Caenorhabditis elegans: one gene and its partner. The protein of the gene in region 1 interacts with the protein of each later gene in a biochemical or structural test. Each region holds a gene or a part of one and is shown in the gene's direction. Other genes may lie near its edges. The genes, in order: pdf-2 and pdfr-1.

What was found.
Region 2: the proteins of pdf-2 (region 1) and pdfr-1 interact in a test that uses a peptide from one of them, tested with the Caenorhabditis elegans proteins (one large-scale study listed by BioGRID).

Annotation. Positions count from the first base shown.
Region 1 is NC_003284.9:2,161,385-2,164,834, forward strand, and holds pdf-2 (Pigment dispersing factor homolog pdf-2), read left to right. Parts: upstream 1-1,999; coding exon 2,000-2,104; intron 2,105-2,168; coding exon 2,169-2,237; intron 2,238-2,287; coding exon 2,288-2,383; 3' UTR 2,384-2,685; downstream 2,686-3,450. UniProt on the Caenorhabditis elegans protein: Probable ligand of isoforms a and b of the calcitonin receptor-like protein, pdfr-1, a G-protein coupled receptor. May not signal through isoform c of pdfr-1. Involved in locomotion; may play a role in circadian rhythms of locomotor activity.
Region 2 is NC_003281.10:6,647,927-6,652,938, reverse strand, and holds the start of pdfr-1 (Calcitonin receptor-like protein 1), read left to right. Parts: upstream 1-1,913; 5' UTR 1,914-1,970; intron 1,971-5,012. UniProt on the Caenorhabditis elegans protein: G-protein coupled receptor for PDF neuropeptides. Plays a role in responses to environmental signals, including chemicals and touch, and in modulating locomotory behaviors. Capable of transducing signals via an adenylate cyclase acy-1 cAMP-dependent pathway.

The DNA of each region.
Region 1 (3,450 bases):
CACTCATCCCTTTGTATCGTTAACTTTTTTCCCAGCCTATCTATTCCAATTATCATCTGTTGCTTATTACTTCTGCACTTTCAGATCACAAAACTAATGCAGAATAATAAACAAAGATCCTGAGATTATACTGATCAGAAAACAGGATAATAATTTCACTTTCAAGTTGACTGGTCTACCTAGAAGCTCAAAAATCACTCTGGAAACTAATTTTATCCAAATTGAAATATACTTTTTCATTAATTATTTATCAAGTTCGTATCAAATATTACATTAAAAGTCGTGTTCCTTGTAATTCTTTTTTTTCCAGAAGCTGCAATTTCTTGAAGACAACTAAGCGGAAATTAACCACTGGCACGTCATACAGGCCGTTGCTCAAGTACACAATGTTATAATTAACTTCGTTTGACTCATTTGGCATTCAAGACAGCATACTATATGCATTTTCTGACGACTAGCTCATCAGCTCTTCAAAATTCTACTGGCCAAACTTCGTGTCATTCTTGTCTGGCAAAATCTACATTTTTTAATCAAAAAGTAAATGAAATCGGATGAAAACATTATACGGATGCTTCCCTGTCTAACATTTCCAACCCTAAATTGAAAATTGGAACCATTCACATTTGCGTCGTTTTTCTCTTAATTCCGAATAGTCATCTAACTATAGTCGGACGAGTCATCTATAGAACTTCACTCATTAAGTGTTCCACTTCGTCTCATTTGGACATTATTTTTATTTTTTTGAATTTCGAAGCTAATGTTTTTCTCTAATAAAAAATGATGTTTGAAAATGGATAATGAATGTTCGCGGCATTTTAATACTAATATACAGTACAGTATTGTAATTTCAAAGAGGGTCTTATAGATTTTTGATGTTTTGGTTTAGAAAATAATATTTATAAAATTTCCATTTCAAAACTTTACAGAAAAGGTGAGGATTTACCAAAAAAAACCATAAGCACATACACTTTTTAGTCAAGTATTTTTCATAGGTGGTCACTTTATAATTTTCATCCGTTTTTTTCTCCTTTCATTTCAATTATGTAACCTAAAATTTGGAAGTCGATTTTCATAGGTTTCCCATTTAACTATTTACAATCCCATAATACACGAATTTCTTAAAATTTGATGATTTTTTTTAAAACAGAAAAATGGCTTTTGATGTTCGGTCAGTGCACTTTTTCTTCAAAAATAACATTTGAATAAAAATTTCCTCTTAATGACTGTCAACTTTCATAATAATTTATTGGGAGCTGTAAAGCTAAAATTTTATGTAATAATTTCTGCCTTGATGAATTTAATTACATAATAGCTCAGAGTTTCTCAACTCTTGATAAAATGTATAACCAAATCGGTGAACATCGACTAGTAAAAGTTCCAATAACCAGACAATGTTGTGTTGCCCTGTCTGAAGAATTACACTTTGATGATCATATATTCCTGGAATTCAATTCCCCAGCTCCATAGTTCAGTTGTTTTCATTCGAGAGACTTCGGAGCATTCTTTTTCTCGCAGGCAACTCATCAAAAATAATAATGAAAGCTGTAGTAACAACATTCTAATTACGGATCCTTGTGGGCGTATCCCCGCAGTAGCACATCTCTCACATTTTCCCGTAAACCATCAACTCTAGAAATCTTCTATTTTTCTCGTCTCAGCTCATTGGCTCAATCAGAATCTTTCGATTTCACGTATATGATTGGCTCAGCGCTCGAAGAAATTTGTTAGGGGGCGGGGCTTGATTTACATGATTCTCATATTTTCCCCTTATTCATTCACAAAGGTTTATTCTGAAAATCATTTTTTTTTTCATTTTTCACCTTAGCGTACTTTTTTATTACGAAAAAGTTTTTGGCATGTTACATGCATGAGTCAAATGATGAAAAACTACTGGATAAGAAACTTTTTTCAAATTTTCCTGCTCATTAGCCGCCCCCTCGGGATCGTTTTTTGTTGCATCGTGTTGCATCAGGTCATCTCAACTTGCTACTTTTTCCAGATGAGCTCTCGAATTTCGGTCTCCCTATTGCTGCTTGCTGTAGTGGCAACCATGTTCTTCACAGCCAATGTTGTTGATGCGACCCCAAGATCACAAGGAAACATGGTAAGTATGATACGATGGAAGAAAAACAAATATTTGAACAACAAATATTTTAAAACAAATTCAGATGCGTTACGGCAACTCTCTTCCAGCGTACGCCCCACATGTCTTATACCGTTTTTACAACTCAAGACAGGTGCTCACTACTTTCGTACTTTCAGAATTCAATAATCTGAAAATTTACAGTTTGCTCCAATAAACAAGAGAAACAACGCCGAAGTAGTGAACCATATTCTCAAAAATTTTGGAGCTCTGGATCGACTTGGAGACGTTGGCAAGTAAAAGTGCACACGGATCTGATAATTTCTAAAAGCACTTGTAGTTGAACACTTATTCACTTTTGAAAGTTGGCATAGTTTTTGAGACCTGAACAATTGCCAATTCTATGTTTACTTTTGCATTCCATAATATATTTTTCACCATTCTCTCAAATTCTCTGATTCTGACTGAGGCTACCACAAAACCGATTTATTCTTTGCTTTAATCGATATTTTCGTACAACTGTGCTGATTCTTTATGTCACCTGTGACACCGAAACCTGTTGAAAATAAAATGCTACTTGTTCAATAAACGCTTATTCAGTTGATTTTCGTTGTGCTGCAAAAGGAAAGACATACGGAAAAATGCAAAGTTTCGACAGGAACTCAATTCGTTAAAAATTGGCAATGGAGAAATTGCCTGTGAGAAAATTATTAAATATCCAAATAAAACGATTCTAAAAATTCTCGAAATGTTTTTTATTTTAAAGGTGGAGTAGCGCCAGTGTGGAACATGTTAAAAACTACACCTATGGTGAAAAAAACATTTCAAAATTTTTCAAAATTTTTAATTATTATATTTGCCTTGAAAGAATATGAAAGAATTTTAAACATTTTCCTTATTGTCGTAGTCCGCCAATAACACACTGACAAATTTGTTTATTGAGCAGTTGAAATGTAGTAGTTAACAATTTTTCAGATCACTGTTTCAGATAAATAGGTTCTGTAAAAAGTGGCTCAGAAATGTTTTTTTTTACATTTAAACTTGATTTTAAGATGCCGTGTAAACCTAAAAACAACTCGAGATGTTTTCTAGAAATTTTAATTTTCAGAAAAGAAACCATTTTTTCAGCAAGCTTTCTGAAAAAAAAACTCCTGCAATTTTCCTATTTCTAGGCACTTTTAAAATTATCAAAATCTGCAAAAACTCACAATTTGAGTATTTTCACGAGATTCTGAAGTAGTCAAGACAAAAACAAAATTAAATTGATGGAGTTTTCCTGTCTGTGAATCTCCATTTAGTTCTCACGTTTTACTGAAAAATTTTTTTCGAGAATGCATAATGCACAAACCAAAAAAATTTTCTGCTCC
Region 2 (5,012 bases), on another chromosome or scaffold:
TTTTTGGTATTTTTTTAAAAGTCTTCCAACAAATAATTGTGATGGTTAACATTCTGTGGTCAAATTGCTAAATTGAGGAATCTACTGTCTTGAATTTTTATGTAAGACAGTAAGCCATTTCCACAAATAAATACTTGGCATTACTCATTCGGAAAAAAAACAATTGCTAAACTCTAGTTTTTCACAAAAAGTCAAATTCCCATAATCAGGATTTCTCCGAATGATGGGGGAAATTGAATTTTTCGGATTGAGAGTAGGGCTTCTAAATTCTTTATTTGAATGGATGAATTAACACACACAAATTCTGAAGGAAAACTAACAACTTATCAGAATAAATTTGTAATATTACACAACTGCTTAAGTTTTATGGCTGATCTCATGTAATTGCAACAGTGCTTACACAGAAGACTCAGATTTTTCTCTCAAAATGCAAATGTCTTGTTTCGCGAGGTTTCGTTCAATTCAAAATTTTTAAACGGTACATAAAATGAATGATTAATTTTTAAACTTCTTATTTTCACGATTACCGAGTCTCTAAAACTATTTTTCCACTTTTCTCTATCTGTCTTCACTTGAAAAACGATTGAAGCCATCAAAAATCACCCAGAGAAACTTTCTTTTTCACGTTTTTCGACACATTTGCATTTTGATTACCTCTTCCTACACATGACCTATCTCTTTTCTCACACAAACTTTTTCACAGAAATCTTACATTTTCTTGCTCTCCATCTTTCTCTTCCTGCAAAAAACTAATTCTCTCCATCTCTGTATGTCCTTGTTTCTGGAGAACCTAATTTCCATAAAAGCCAGAAAATATTCTTCACTCTCTTTCATCGTCCTTATTTATTATCATTCAATCTTTTAAAAGTAAAATTATGTCGTGCGTTCACCTAATTATTCAGCTTTATTGCCCCCAAAGGCTCTTTTTTATGTATGTCGGAGCAAGTTTTCTTGACAACAACAAGAAAACACAATTTATGACTTGCTTGAATGTTATTAATTGAATGTTTGATTCTATTCTTGGGCGAATATTGCGGTACACTTTCTTAGAACCTATAATATTTTATGCATTCCAAAGATTTTGAGCTAATCTTGGTTTCAAATAAATAATAATGTTGCAAACCTTTTTATTCCAAAAAAAAGTAATATGTGAAATAATGTCAAGGTAAAGTTTGGCTTTTCGGTTTCAGTTGTAGAGTTTCAGTGATAATTTTTAGTCCAGTTAGAGTAGTTTTAAGTTTTTTCTACGCATTCTGTTTGAATTTAACTTCTATACATTTGGCATTAAATGTCATGTGAATTTAAAGCATTGATACAGTAAGATGTGTCCTTAAATAATTGTATAAAACGAGACAACTCAATTTCAAATTAGAACTGAATATCGTGCGTCCCCTAAAACCTTACATTAACTGTACAGTTGTGGAGCTTTATAAACCTTTAAACTTCTTTTTCTAGTTTAAGATATTGAAGAAAAATCACAAAAAAAATCTGGTGATGTTTTAGATGTCTTCAACTTCCACTATTTCTACTTCAATCTACTTGTTTTCAATAATTTCTGAGTTTTTCATCTCCGAAGGAACAGAAGGTGTTCCATAACTAATCAAACTTGACTTTGCACATTTCCACCATCATCACAAATATGATCGTCCCATATCTAATCAAATTGTGTGTGGGAAACTCCAACGAGTTTTTTGTGCCTATTTCCTCGTTGAGCAGCAATCCACTTGAAAAATCCAATCATCTTGGAGAAGTAGAAGACGAACTCGAATCCAATTCATGGCCCCGGGTTTTCACGTTGGTTAAACTTTTTCTCCTTTCATCCAATCACCTCTTCGAGTACGTTTCTTGTTCCGCGCCGCAGTTTTTTTTCATATTTGCTTTGGAAATTAAAATAAATAATTTTGATTTTTCAGGTAAGACCAGTGAAAACAAGACAACGAAGAATTGGTCAAACGTCGAATTGAAAAATGGTAAGTCGACCAATTATCAGATTTATTTTGGATTACACATGTTCTTCCGCTCTTTAATTATTTTCTTCTTGTTAGTCATTATTTAAAGTTCATTTTGTTTATACTCTTTCGCATTTCCCATGATTTTTGCAAATATTTTATTGAAGTTGAAAATTAGGGATTCCAAAAAACGTTTGAAAGAATAAACGACCTTGAATGGGTCTAGACAATTCATTTTTCTTGGATTGTTATTTTCGTATTAATTGAATTTTTACAAATGCTATTTTCAGACCAACTTGATATTTTTAGATTTTCTCAGTTTTCCGGAACATTTGCTATGTTTTTTGTCTGTTCAGTTTTGCTTTCATATGTATTAGCTCCTCACAACCGAATTATCAAAAAACTGTAAAAATAGAACATATTGAAGTTTATAGAAAATCGATGAACCATGTTTTTATTTTTTGAAGATGATACGATTCGTTATCAAAACTAAACCTTATATGGTAAACATTTAAATTTTCCTGTATACGTTCCTGCAATCTACCTACCTGCCTTCCTTAACCTCCCAACTTTTTTGGAGATTTGGTATTTGAATACTTTTTAATGTTGATTAATGATAGTAGTACTATTCTAAAGCTTAATCTTTTCTTGTAAAACAAAAACCTTATGACCTTTCTCATTCAATTCCTGTAACCTATTCTGCAGAATCCTTTTCCCTTGAAAAAATGAACATTTTCAGAAGGGTAGTTGTCTGTGTTTCTACTCTCCAGAGGATACCCACGCTGCCCCCGCTGTTAAAAAAAATATAGGGAGAAAGAGAGAAAGAGCAAAAATAAAATAAATTGGGCCAGAGCAATTTTCCATATCTTTTCCTGCCCCAGCGAGTCTTGTTGTTTCTTCTTTTGGTGTTTCTAAACACTCTAGGATTCTAGAGATTTTCAGCAGTTTGCAATCTTGAATTCTTAAATTTAACTTAAGTCTTGAAACAAAAACTTAAAAATTCACGGTCGCCTTCCTTTTTCTGTTTTTCTCAATATTTTCACTATTTCTGAAGAAATGACTCGTCGGATTCAAAGAGAATCTAAGAAAGTCTTGAAGAATCAAGAATTTCATCAGGATAAAAGCTGAAGACGTCAGTTTTATCTTGCTCTTCTTCATTGAAGTGAAAAGAGGAAGGGAAGAATGAGATCTGTAGAGTCACGTGATGGATGTTTGATATAAACTAATGTCTTCTGATGCTTTTCCTTCTTTCTATTCACTTTAATGATGGACCACTCATTCATGTTTCCTTAAAGACTTCTTGAAACTTTCTTGTTCCATCTACTTGATAATGACCATAGCCTTGAAACTAGATGAAAAGTCTTTAGAATTTCCTTCCAAACTTGAAATATCGGGAATAAAAAATTCACAAAACTTTTTCAATTTTATACATTTTAATTTTCAAATATCGTCTACATGGTTCCAGTGGGTTATAATATATTATAAAAAATTTTAAAATCCATGTATTAAAAAAATTAGAAAATACAGTAAAACGTACTTTTCCAGTGAAAGTGACAGAAAGGGCGCGAGGGTGGCGATGAAAGAGGCGGGTTAGATGCGTCGACGCCTCGTCGATGTAGATTGTCTGAAACGCAAGAGAATCTGGGTTTTCAATCTGAAGTTCTACAACTATTTTTTGCAATATTAATCTAGACCAAAATAGCAGGGTTTCATGAAGAACCATAAAAAGGATGCACTATGAGAATTTTGAAGTGTACTCCGTACTACAACTACATGACCTGATCTTTAGTGCAGTTAAAAAATATGAAAAACACGGAACAGAGTTCCTAGAGATGAAAAATGGTACCATTTTCGGCCATGATTTATTTTACGATCAGTTAAAACATTCCACTTGAGATAAGCAAAAATTATTAGTACTCTGTTCCAGAACACTTTTATATCTCATCTGAATATGCACCATGATTAGATATAAAATATATAAATTTTCTATGATCTGTTGTGAGATGGTCCCATCTCCCAATTATCTGGTACTCTGAGACACTCGCGAATACTCCCATCGTGTTCGCCGTACCAGAAAACCTATAAACCGCTCCTTCCAGTCGCTCTATCTCCCCCTTTCTCTAATCTAATGCGCGCCCTCATTTGAATCTCCCGCCAAGCTCAATGGTCTCGCAGCGAGTGTGCGCCGCGGGTCTCACCGCGCGCCCTCCTTGCTCGTCCTAATTCGCTGGCCTAAATTAGTTTCGACTCAACTCCCTTCACTCGTCTCGTCACCGCTCCTGCGGATCGTTCTTCTTTTATAATTATTTATCTTTATTTATTCCCTTAATAGTTTATCACCCGCTTTAGTGACTTGTATAGCAATCTTCCTATACGGAAGACGCTAACATCCGCTAATGACACGTTAAACTATTCCCTTATCGACAGTTCCCCTTCTTTCTATATTCTTTCGAGCTAATAAAGGGGGTTTCATGGTAACTTCTCGTGTTATATCGTTCACACCGCTTATCTCTCGTTCTTGCATGGCACTCCGCAACCGCCAGTTCTCTCTTAGACTTCTTTCCGGCTTGACCCCAGTGGTGGATCCCCAACCCACTATACTGGGCGGTCAACATGGAGTTGGACACCCATGTAGGTTATGAGTTTCTTACCTGGATAAACCGGTTTCGGAGCCATCTGGCGCGAGCGGTCGGATGATGATGATACATCCGCCGGTGCTCCTCTCTAGCTAGTTGAGTCAAACCCGCATGGTTAAAGCCCCCTTCGGATGCTATTCCCGATGTGGTTTGGTGAGTGCATTTGACTGGCTATCGCGACCAGCTCGGCATCAAGGCAGAAATTCAGAACACACATGGGGGGAATGGTTTTTTTTTATAAATTTCTTAGCCTTCTCCCAGTCACTTTTCCATAATCGTTTCCTGTTTTGCAATCTGAAACCTTTTTACGCAGAAAAAGTTTTCCAAGTACTTTGCTGACCAGAAAAGAAGCTTTTGAAACTCGAAAATACCTGCCCATTGCCAAAGTGCTTAATAACTTTTCAGTTAATTTTCTAAATTAAAATGA